Linked DNA regions of Coturnix japonica. Each later gene encodes a partner of the first gene's protein in a complex. Links are inferred from orthologs where the notes say so. Each region holds a gene or a part of one and is shown on either strand. Other genes may lie near its edges.

Region 1 (5,851 bases):
TCTCTAACATAATACACTTACCTACCTAGATTGCCCCTATAGCTGACAGACTGGCTTACGAGACTGCTTACATGAGTAGCAGTGCTGTACCTACAAAGCACACACTTCAAAATTAACACTCATGGAAACCTCATTAAGGCATTAATCCTCTCCTCATATCAGAGAAAGACTGTACTGCATTTCCAAACCCAAATGACTTACACTCTGTACTAACATTTGGAGAAACACACGTTCTCACTACAGAAACACATAAGCAATAACATTTATTACTAAAGCCACAAACTTAAGTGAAAAGCAGCGCTGCTGATCAGATGACTAAGTGAGCTGCTGCAGTTACTGGTAGCTGAAGTACAGAAGCGAGGAACAGCTCCCAGCTCTTGGAATGGAATACTCAGTTTTCTGTTTGGGAATCTGATGGTCTAATTTAGTATGAAAAAGTAACTCTTACATACACATAAAAAGAAAACCCTACTCATCCCACAAGAAGCGTTAGAAAAAGAGATGTATATTTCACTTCGTAACAGATGCAAGTACTTTAGGAAGACTTCAAAATGCTCCTAAAGATAGCACAGATCACCTTCCACAATTAAATGTCAGCTCAGTTACTGACCCCTTCAGTCAAGGTGTGAAGTCAGAGCATGGGCCAGAATCCTATCTTGCTAGGCAGCCAAAACCAAAAGATTGCAGAAGGTAGAGGAAAGGCCTGCATTTAATAGCTTGTGTTTATGTTGTGTGACAGAATATAAAAAGTAAACTTTCAGTAAGCACAAAAGTGTTTGAAAAGATTTTCACTATTAGAGAAAAGGCAAAGATATTCTCTTCCGTGTTAAACAAGTAACATGAAGTTTATGCCCTCACACTTCTGAAGTTCAGAAGCAGAAATGCATTGTCATGGCCAGCATACAAAACTAAGTTCTCTTTATAGCTGTGCAAGATAATTCTGTTTCCTGGTCTTGCTGGATTTAAGTGACATTAGAGGTATGAATGAAGGGTAAGGATGAACCTGTTCACTCAAGACTGCACAAATCCTACCTTAGGAATGTTACACAAGAGTAAGTTTTAAAGCCTTGGATTTCAGAAGGCAGAAGGACAGTGAAAGGCTATGACTCTATTACCAGCCCAAACAAGGTGCAGCTGATCACTTCATGCCATTTTGCCCATGTACAAACCAGTACAAAGCAAAATCCACATTATCAGAGGTCTGATGCAGAAAAAAGATGATGAAGACTTGCACCACTGGGTGGCACTGTTGGACTGCTAGAAACTTAGGCATAGCAGAACAGGCCTGTCAACACCCCCTCTGCCAAGCAACCAGGAACTGAAATCAAGCAACTTCACAGCTATGTTAAGCAGACTTTTCAAAGATTGCTATCTTAGTTGCTTTCATCACCTAGTGTAGCAATTTGTGCAAATTTTTTCTGACCTAATACAATAAAACCCTGCAGAACTGGGTATTTGACTCACAAATTTATCTTTTGGAGAACATCTGGCTTTAGAGAGTAATATTTCATTTCAAATATTTCATTTCAGAAATAGCCACTTCTCAAGAGAGAACACACACTCACTAGTTTTAACTATAAAACAGGACTGCAATGGCAAGGAGTCAGGATGATGCACAACAAAGCTGTTAATAGACATAAGGCACTGACAACCTGTACAACTTCACCCAGAGCCTATTGCAGAAACAGAACGAAAGCACTTGACAAACTACGTGCCTTAGATTTCACATGACAAAATAAATAAACAAATAAAAATGTAAAAATCAATTACTTTAGAAGAAAATAACAAGCAGTGGAGAAAACCTCAGATTCAGTATTTTTGGTTTCTGAGAAATAAGGCTCTCTTTAGATAGCACCATAAAGCCTATTCACATAACCAGCTTACTCAGGTCATTTGGTCAAGTAAGCAACAGCTGAAATATATGGAGCAGTTCATTTAAATTCTCTGTAATCAGATAAATCAATGACTGACAAAACTGGCTGCCTTTTGATTTCTTTCTTGAAAATAAAGAAAGTGACTTTTATCAATACTCCATATGTACAATCAACAGTTTCTATATTATAAGACTAAAAAAACTATATAATGTGGATATTAATTCTGATCCTGAATATCTCTTATCATCACAGTTGAAATCAGCTTTCCAGAAAAGTAAACCTCTACTTGAACTACCTTTCTGTTTAGTAGCCATACAGATACAGCCCTATGCAATCTATAACAATATGTATACACACATACACTTAAACTTAGTAACAAGACCAAAAAGTAATCCAAAAAGTACTTACGACTGACAGTAAGCAAGGCGCAGTATGAAATGAGAAATATGGTCCTTTCTTCTTGCATCATAATCATCTTCAGCCAAAGCCTACAGAAAATGTTATTAGAAATTAGATTAGAAATCCACAGTTTATCCACCACTGCTGTTTCACATCATATCAATACTTATATCTATAACCTCAAACACAGGACTATTAAAGAGGCAGACTGCCCAAAATAAACATGTATTTTTAAAGACAAAGTTTAAGTTAAAGACAAGCTGCCAGAATACAAGCTTTAGGAATAGTAATTTGTGCAGAATTTCTGAACAGTGTACAGAAAATAGAGTGCAAAAGAAATAGCTGCTTGTTTCTATTTATACTTACTCTGTAGGGAAACTTAAGTTTCCGGAGCTCAGCCTCCAGCTTACTTTTGTACGCATCACCACTTTTTACATAGCTCACACCAAGGTTTTCAACTACCTTGAGCACTGAGGAGAAAAAAAAAAAACATAGTTCATATAGTTAGAACACAGTTAGTTGTAGTCCATATAGTCACAATATGCAGGTAGTGAAGGGATGAAGGGAAATGACTTTAAACTGGAAGAGGGTAGATTCAGACTAGATATTAGGAGGAAATTCTTTACTGTGAAGATGGTGAGACACAGGAACGGGTTGCCCAGAGAGGCTGTGGATGCCCCCTCCCTGGAAGCATTCAGTGCTAGGGGCTTTGAGCAACCTGGTCTAGAGGGAAGTGTCCCTTCCTATAGCAGGAGGTTGGAACTAGAGGATCTTAAAGGTCCCTTCCAACCCAAGCCATTCTATAATTCTATGATAACATATTGAAAAGGAAGCTAACTCTATCATGACTTGAAAAAAGGACTAAATAAAGGCCATGCAAACTCCTGTTAGCAGTATCAGGAGTAAAAGGATAAGAATTTAGAAAGACAAAGCATGGCCCAACTCATCCATAGCCCACAGGACCTATCACAGAATCATTCAGGTTGGAAGAGAACACTGAGATCATCTAGTCCAAACACCAACCCATCAACACCACGCCTACTATGTCAGTCCAACCTGACAGCTCGCCCAGCCCTAAAATCCAGGCAGGGAGCAGAGCAGGGAGAAAGATCAGCCCCAGAGCATCCAGCTGCACTGCAGGGACAGAGACCTGCATTCTGTGGCTCTTTGGGGGCACTGCTCCCAGCCATGACCTCAGTGCCTGCACAGAGACATCCAAGAGAGGCATCCAGAGACCCTGAAAAACAAGGCTATAACCCAATACCACATAATAGCGATTTGTATGCACTTCAGTTGAACTGTGAAATCGCTCAGAGCTCACACTACTCACGCCTCAGGCGGTCGACAGCGAAGCTCTCGAACTCGTTCAGAGAGATGGTCTCGGTGGGGGGCTCCTGGTAGAACTGCAGGCTGTGGGGGTACGGCTCCCGCTTGTCCCCCGCCAGCCTCAGGTGCCGCTGCCGCGCTCTGCTGCTGAACTCCATCTGCAGAGCGGACCGAAGAAAACGAAAAGGGCTGAGGGACGGGGCTGAAGGGTCACACAAGATCCCACCAGCCCCAAGCCAACACCAGGACCCGCTCCGGCTTCCCGCGCAGCGGTCGCCCCGCCTGCTTCCTGCTCGCTAATTTCCGCCCCGCTTTTACCCACAAACAACATGTCGGCTGTGGGCTCTCTAGCCGCCAAAGGCACTCTATGGTAGTTCTCTCAGCACCTGCAGCGGGGAGCCTCTATTACCTGACTCAAATCTCACCATGCAATACCTTGTGAGGGGGCTGCCAGCTCCTTCACGCAGAAATCCTTCTCTTGGGAAGTGGAAACAAAGTAGGGGATAGGTATCTCCGTGGGGGAAAACACCACAACTCAGTAGGTGTCATAACCCAAACTTTCCTACTGACTTACCAAATCAAAACCTATACACAGCAATAGTTCTCACAATACCATTTTACTTACTTTTTTCCCTTTCTATTTTCATCATTTCCACAGCAACGTTACCAGCAGACTCTGATTTTAGAAGTGTTTGTTAGCAGAAACGCTGGTGTTCCAACTACCCACCTGACAAATGTTTTACAACATCCATATGGCCAGCTGTCAAACTGTCCCCACAGCCCCAACTAAGCACAGTCCAATCCAGCATACCTCAAACTCCTACTGTTGTGCTACCGAAATAACAGAACAACAAAGCCCTTGTTTTGCAGTAAACATGATTGAATGTTATCTGTTCCCCTGTTGTTATACCAATTAGCAGTGTCCACAGCACTGCTAATTCTTGGGAGCCCAGTTATTTTCTACTTCGTAAAATATCTGCCATTCAAGTTACACTAAGATATTTTTTCTTCTGACTGTGATAAGCAGATACCTTTGTGTTAACTATAAATAAATGGGAAATGTACTGAGCTGGCCTTTAAACTCCTTCATGTTCCAAAGTGAGCAAAGCATGAATCATGAACTGAAGAGAGGCTCAAGGGGCTATTTTAGTCAGAATACATTCTTGGTCTCTCAGTGTTAATATATTAAAGTAGGGAGTAATGATGGTTGCATCCGTTGTGACATTTTAAATCACTCATCAGGGCTTTAGGTTAAAGGATTGTATCCCCACATTGCCCATCCAAAACTCTAGCACACAGGTGGAGGAAATCTAGATACATCTCACTGTCATCCTAAAGTAATTCTGACAGGTTGCCTTCTCCCTGCATGCGTATTCAGTATGCTTAGGCTGCTATGGTAAACACACTTACCAGCTCTATATTCTGTTATATATCTTATTTTCAGTCCCTTAGCATCATCTTTCAGGGTACTTCCCAAGAAATCATACAATGAATCAAAGAATGGCCTGGGTTGAAAGGGACCACAATGATCAACCCCTCTACTATGTGCAGGGTCACCAACCACTAGACCTCGCTACCCAGAGCCACAGTCAGTCGCTGGGCTGCAAGCAAACACTGCTGGCTCATGTCCAGCTTCTTGTCCACCAGAACCACAAAGTTCTTCTCCACAGGGCTGCTCTCAAGGAGACCTTCCCTCAGTTCCTATAAAGATCTAGGATTTCCCCCACGCTCCAAGTGCAGCACCTCATTGGTCACAAGAACCCCAGGCAACCCTACAGGCGTGGGGAGGAGTGGCTGGAAAGCTGCCTGATGGAAAGAGTCTTCGGTGTACTAATGGACAGTCGGCTGAATATGAGCCAGCAGCGTGCCCAGGTGGCCAAGAAAGCCAATGGCATCCTGGCTTGTATCAGAAATGGTGTGGTGAGCAGGACTAGGGAAGTCATCCTGCCCCTGTACTCAGCATTGGTGAGGCCTCACCCCAAGTACTGTGTTCAGTTTTGGGCACCTCAGTACAAAACGAACACTGAGATGCTGGAGTAGGTCCAAAGAAGGGCAACAAGGCTTGTGAAGGGCCTGGAGAATATGCCATATGAGGAAAGACTGAAGGAACTGGGGCTGTTTAGTCTGGGGAAAAGGAGGCTGAGGGGAGACCTTATTGCTTTCTTCCAATACCTGAAAGTTGCTTACAGTGATAGTGGGGTTGGTCTCTTCTCACTGATAACAGGACAATGGGAAATGGCTTCGAGTTGTGC
Region 2 (5,827 bases), on another chromosome or scaffold:
CCCAACCCACCCCCCCCACAGTCCTTAAAACCCACCCCCCAGCATTAACCCACCTCCCCAACCCTTAACCCCCCCCCAGCCTTAACCGCCCCCCCCCAAGCTATCAACCCACCCCCCCCATTCATTAAGCCCACCTCCCCAACCCTAACCCCACCCCCAAACCCTTAACCCACCCCCTCACCATTAACCCACCCCCACAGCCCTTAACCCACCCCCCCCAGCCATTAATCCACCACCCAGCCTATTTAAACCCACCTCCACAGCCCTTAACTCACCCCCCCCAGCTCTCTAACCCACCCCCCCAACCCTTAAACCACCCCTTCCAGCCCTTTAACCCCCAGCCACCAGCCCTTAACCCCCCAGCCATCAACCCAACCCCCACAACCCTTAACCACCCCCACAACCATTTTACATTAACCACCCCCCCCAGGCCTTAACCCACCCCCCCAGCATTAACCCACCCCCACAAGCCCTTAACCCACCTCCCCAGCCACTAACTCACCCCCACAGCCATTAACTCACCCCCCCACAACCCTTAACCACCCCCCAACCATTAACATTAACCCACCAACCCTTAACCACCTCTCCAGCCATTAATCCACCCCCCCACAACCCTTAACCCCGCCCCCAGCCCTTAACCCACCTCCCCCAGCCATTAACATTAACCCACCCCTCTGCCCCACTCACCCCTCACTCTCCTCTTCGGCTCCGTCTCCTCTCCATCCTCCTGCTCTGCATCATCACCGGCTGCATCCAGCTCCTGGCACAGCGAGCTGCATGGAAGGACAATGCAGGACATGGTGGGGGGGGGCTGCTCATAATAGGGGCTACCCACAACCAGGGCTCCCCCCACACCGACCCCATGTACCGACCTGATGGTGGGCACTGAGAATGGGTCGAACTCATCCAACCTCTGCAGGTCCAGCGGCACCGAGATGCGACCTACAAGGGACAGAGATAGGGGAAGGTGAAGAGAGGTGCTGCATGGGGTGCCCATAGCAGGGTGCTGACCCCACAACCAGCTGCACCCCCCCCATTTTGGGGTACCCGCCTGCTTTGGGGTACCCCCCTGTTTTAGGGTACCCACCTGTTTTGGGGTGGACACTAAAGGGGCTCTTCAGGAGGTGCCCGATGCCTTTGCTGACGTTGATGTCGAGCCGTGGGAAGCAATACTGCAGCATGATCTCCCAGTCTGCATAACACGCCGTGCCCTTCCCGCTGCCCGCAGCCCGCTGTGGGTACAGGTAGTCAAGGGGCAGCACGGCCCCATAGCTGCCCCATAGCTGCCCCATAGCCACTCACCCGCGTCCTCTCCATGCGGCCCTTGAGCAGCTCCCAGCGCTGCCCCGAGTCACGTTTCTTGGGGAACTCAGTGTGCAGCAGCTCCCGGTGCTCTGCGGGGCTGTTAAGGGCCATCACAGCCAACACAACCCCCCCCTGAGCCCAGCAGATGGAAGGATAGAAGGAGAGAAGGAGAGAAGGAGAGAAGGAGAGAAGGATAGAAGGATACCGTCTGGAACCAGAGCAAGCACTTTGTCCCAGCGCTCGGGGCTGCCCAGGATGTCCTGGCCCTGCAGTGCATACGCCTCGAAGTATTTCTCCACCACGTTCACTGAGCGTCTGAGGAGCAGATGGAGAAGCTCAGAACCCCATAACCATCAGCTCAACACCCCATAACCATCAGCTCAGCACCCCATAACCATCAGCTCAACACCCCATAACCATCAGCACAACACCCCATAACCATCAGCACAACACCCCATAACCATCAGCACAGCACCCCACAACCATCAGCTCAGCACCCCACAACCATCAGCACAGCACCCCATAACCATCAGCTCAGCACCCCACAACCATCAGCTCAGCACCNAACCATCAGCTCAGCACCCCACAACCATCAGCTCAGCACCCCACAACCATCAGTTCAGCACCCCACAACCATCAGCACAGCACCCCACAACCATCAGCTCAACACCCCATAACCATCAGCACAGCACCCCACAACCATCAGCTCAGCACCCCACAACCATCAGCACAACACCAGGCAGAGCACCCCCATCCCCATCCCCACCCACCTGATGAATGGATGCACAGGCTCTGACAGATTCACCTTCTTCACCGTCTCAGCTCCACCCTGTTAATGTCAGATTGTTCAGCCCAACCAGGTGGGCAACACAACCCCCCCCCCCTCCATACACCCACCTTGACCAGGCTCAGATACTCCACAGCAGCAGCTCTCAGAGCTGGGGACCATTTACGTACGGCGTCATCACAGACCCAGCAGTGGACACCTCTCCTTCCTGAGTACACCCACAGCCGGTGCTTCATGCCCAGGTCCTCTATGGGGCACAGTGGGGCTGGGGGAGCACTCCAGGCACTCCAGCCCCATAGCAGTGCTCCCCCAGACCCATTTGAAGGCATCACAATGGACAGCAGGGTCTGGATACGTGCTCAATGCACATCCCTGCATCCCTCACCCACGAGTGCACGGTCGATCACACGGACAGCGATGGTCATCAGAGTCCAACACTTGGAGCAGATATCAGCCGAGCTGTGGGCAGAGCACAGCGGTCAGATGGGTGCCAAGCATCCCCCCCCACGGCCAACTGGGCTCTATGGGGCTGCAACCCCCCCCATCCCATCCCCAACCCCCCCCATGGCTAACGGGGCCCTATGGGGCTACAACCCCCCCCTCCCCATCCCAAACCCCCCCAGGGACCTGCAGCACGTCCGGACATCATCATAGTCGGTCATATCGATATCAAACACCAGCTCCTTCTCCACGGGTTGGAACGCCCCGAGGTGCACCGTGTTGTGCTGGTTGGGCTGCGGGGAGCACAAGGGGTCACATCCCGCAGCCACCGGGGGGTTTAGGGGTGGAAGAAGGGGAGTGGGGGGGGGATACGAACGCGATGCGAATATACGGCCCCGATGTCGATCTTATAGGGGTTGGTCCTTTGCAGCTCCTTCTCCAGCTCCTGCGGGCTGCAGAACGACTGGAACCGCACGTAAACGTCGTCCCGCAGCGTGAAGGAGAACTCCCGAAGCTGGAAATAGTTCTTCTCCACTGCGGGGATGCGGAGAGGGTCGGGTTGGGGGGGTTGGGGGGATTGGGGGGGTTGGGGGGGATGTAGACCCCACCGATTCGCCGTCCCGACCCCGCCCGGTCCCTTCGCTCACCGCCGCCGTAGCCGAGCCAGCGGCCGTAAGCGCCGTGTGGGAAGAGCCGTCGGTAGAACACCGGGAGAAGCTCCGGTAACGCAGCCGGTTCGAACGGCGCCATGACGGGAAGCGGAGGGAAACGGCGGGACCGAAAGAAACCGAGTGGTCGCTGGGAGATGTAGTGCGACCCCTCCCGGAACGGAGCTGAACCGCTCCGACAGCGCCGGCCGTCGGGGAACCGGAGCGGGTTAACGGGGACCCCCGGGGGGGCTCAGCACCGGCACCGACCCCGTCCCTGCTTTGAACAGCGGCCGAGTCCCGGGAGCGGAGCCCCTGAGACCCCCCATAAGTTGGGTGGTGGTTCGAGGGCAGCTCAGCCCCGTGCCAACGAGGGGCGGCTTTGCCAACGAGCCGAGGGGCCACGGATGGGGATTGAAATCACGGGACGTGGGAGGACGGGCTGAGCCGCTGCCCGGCCCCGTATTCAGATGTGTTGGCACTGACACACACCGGCCCCGAGGAGTTGGGCCGGTCCAAGGTCGGCACGGGCCGGAGCCAGAGCTCAGGGCTGCGCTTTGTGCCGTGTCCACGCGAGTCCCGGCCGCCTCCACGTCCCGTTCCTCCTCCTCGTCGTGCTCCTCCTGCTGCCGCCCCACCATGTGGCTGTGGCTGCTGGCGCTGCTGGGGCTGTGGCTGCTGCGGCGTTGGAACCTGGAGCGGCAGACGGTGGGCGGCCTGGACGAGAAGTTCGTGCTGATCACGGGCTGCGATTCGGGCTTTGGCAGCCTGCTGGCACGGCAGCTGGACGCGAGGGGGCTGCGGGTGCTGGCGGGCTGCCTGAGCGAGGCCGGGGCCGCGAGGCTGCGGGCGGCCGCCTCGTCTCGCCTGCAGACCGTCCTGCTGGACGTCACGTCCAGCGACAGCATCGCCGCCGCCGCCGCGTGGGTGCGGGAGCGAGTGGGGGACAGAGGTAGGAGGGGGTCGGGGTGTGGGGAGTGGGCGCCCAGCGGGGGTCTCGGCTCATCCCGGCCCTATTGCAGGGCTGTGGGGGCTGGTGAACAACGCCGGCATCGCCGTCCCCTCCGCCCCCAACGAGTGGCTGAGGAAGGAAGACTTCGTGGCGGTGCTGAACGTCAACCTGGTGGGGCTGATCGAGGTGACTCTCAGCCTCCTGCCGCTGATCAAGAGGGCGAGGGGCCGCGTGGTCAACGTGGCCAGCGTGGTGGGCCGGCTGTCCATCTTCGGGGGCGGCTACTGCCCGTCCAAGTTCGGCGTGGAGGCGTTTTCCGACAGTCTGCGGTGAGTCCTGCTCCCCCCTGCTCTGCCTGGCAGCGTTATGGGGCTGGTCGGACCCCGCTACTCGGACCTTGCCCCGCTGTGTGTCCCATGGAGCGGCTCCAATGTTTGCTCTGACCCCATCCCGTCCCACTGCGGTCAGTGTTTGCTCGTGCACCATCCCAGCCTCATGCTGGGCTGCTCGTGGTGCCCTCTGTGGTTGGGTTTCCCTGCTGTGCCCCATAGCGAGGCCGTCCCCACTCAGCCCACCCCCCTTTGCTGCTCCCATCCCATTGCATCGCTGCCTTCCAGGCTTGAGATGAGGCACTTCGGGGTGAAGGTGAGCATCATCGAGCCGGGTTACTTCAAAACAGCCATCACCGGTTCTGCAGAACTAGAGAAGAGCCTCCTCAGAGCCTGGGAGAGGATGCCCAGTGAAACCAAAGCCAGTTATGGGGATAAATACCTACAGGACTGTGAGTGCATCCCCAAAGCTCACCCAGCATCTCAGTGCTGAGCTGCACCGGGACCCAGCGGGGCCTCTCGGTCCCTTTGGCACAATCTCAGCTCCTGTCCCTCCCTCTGCCCCCAGTCCTGGCAAATATGAGGGAGATGATGAAGAAATGCAACCCCAACCTGTCGCTGGTGACGGGCTGCATGGAGCACGCACTGACCAGCCGCTACCCGCGCTGCCGCTATGCAGCTGGTTGGGATGCCAAGCTGATCTACATCCCTCTCAGCTACTTTCCCTCTGCCATCACCGACGCCTTGTTCACCTGGACCTCCCCCAAACCTGCCCAGAGAGTGTGAGGCCGTGAGGGCAGAGCTGGCATCGCCCCACACCTGAGATCCCACGGCAGCAAGCAAAGCGCTGCACTTTGCACTGGCAATGTTTGCTGCTGAATAAAGCTGACCTCTTCCCTGCATGGTGTGGTTGAGCCCTGCCCCTTCCCTCTGCAGCGCACTGAGGCTGTGCCCATGGGGGAGCAGTGGGCACAGTGCTGCCAAGCCCCCACCCTATACATGCCCCCTTTGCCATCCCTTGGAGCTGGGGGCAACCAGGTGAATGGGGTCCCAGTGCCGCTGTGCAGCTCTCAGCCCCATCGCTGCTGCTCTGCCCTCACCCAGCATCACCGCATCCTTCCCATGCAATGCAGCCAGCCCTGCAGTGCTGTGCGATGCCTCGGGTCGGGCTCCATCAGCACATGCAGCTGTTGCAGAGCTGCAGCAGCGCTCCCTGCATGGCTCCGTGCAACACGAGGCGGCGAGGATTAAAGAACTCAAGGTTTATTTCAGCTCTGCTGCAATCCTGCCCGCCCTGCAGCGTCGCCTGCAGCTATTTGGGCACCGCTGCCCCCGCTGCTGCCCCGTGCTGCGTGGCTGCTCCTTG

Evidence for each region.
Region 2: the proteins of PRIM2 (region 1) and PRIM1 are in contact, whole or in part, in a crystal structure (PDB 5EXR), measured with the Homo sapiens proteins. The link is inferred for Coturnix japonica from reciprocal best matches to the Homo sapiens genes PRIM2 and PRIM1. Residues at the interface, in NP_000938.2 of Homo sapiens: Glu165, Ala168, Ser169, Pro171, Ser172, Phe188, Ala189, Leu192, Phe195, Arg196, Gly197, Arg198, Val200, Tyr201, Leu202, Glu203, Asp204, Gly205, Phe206; in NP_000937.1 of Homo sapiens: Lys147, Glu148, Asp149, Phe150, Gly151, Phe152, Ala180, Val181, Gly184, Ile185, Glu187, Tyr188, Ser190, Leu191, Lys193, Lys207, Ile208, His209, Pro210, Ile212, Arg213.

Annotation. Positions count from the first base shown.
Region 1 is NC_029518.1:79,160,386-79,166,236, forward strand, and holds the start of PRIM2 (DNA primase large subunit), read right to left. Parts: upstream 3,758-5,851; coding exon 3,604-3,757; intron 2,744-3,603; coding exon 2,640-2,743; intron 2,363-2,639; coding exon 2,283-2,362; intron 1-2,282. UniProt on the Homo sapiens protein: Regulatory subunit of the DNA primase complex and component of the DNA polymerase alpha complex (also known as the alpha DNA polymerase-primase complex) which play an essential role in the initiation of DNA synthesis.
Region 2 is NC_029544.1:1,685,236-1,691,062, reverse strand, and holds the start of PRIM1 (DNA primase small subunit), read right to left. Parts: upstream 3,559-5,827; 5' UTR 3,284-3,558; coding exon 3,181-3,283; intron 3,068-3,180; coding exon 2,910-3,067; intron 2,827-2,909; coding exon 2,720-2,826; intron 2,552-2,719; coding exon 2,478-2,551; intron 2,340-2,477; coding exon 2,203-2,339; intron 2,135-2,202; coding exon 2,076-2,134; intron 1,621-2,075; coding exon 1,511-1,620; intron 1,395-1,510; coding exon 1,303-1,394; intron 1,233-1,302; coding exon 1,088-1,232; intron 943-1,087; coding exon 873-942; intron 774-872; coding exon 688-773; intron 1-687. Other genes in the region: retinol dehydrogenase 16-like, read left to right, coding at 3,820-4,132, 4,203-4,461, 4,750-4,913, 5,030-5,247. UniProt on the Homo sapiens protein: Catalytic subunit of the DNA primase complex and component of the DNA polymerase alpha complex (also known as the alpha DNA polymerase-primase complex - primosome/replisome) which play an essential role in the initiation of DNA synthesis.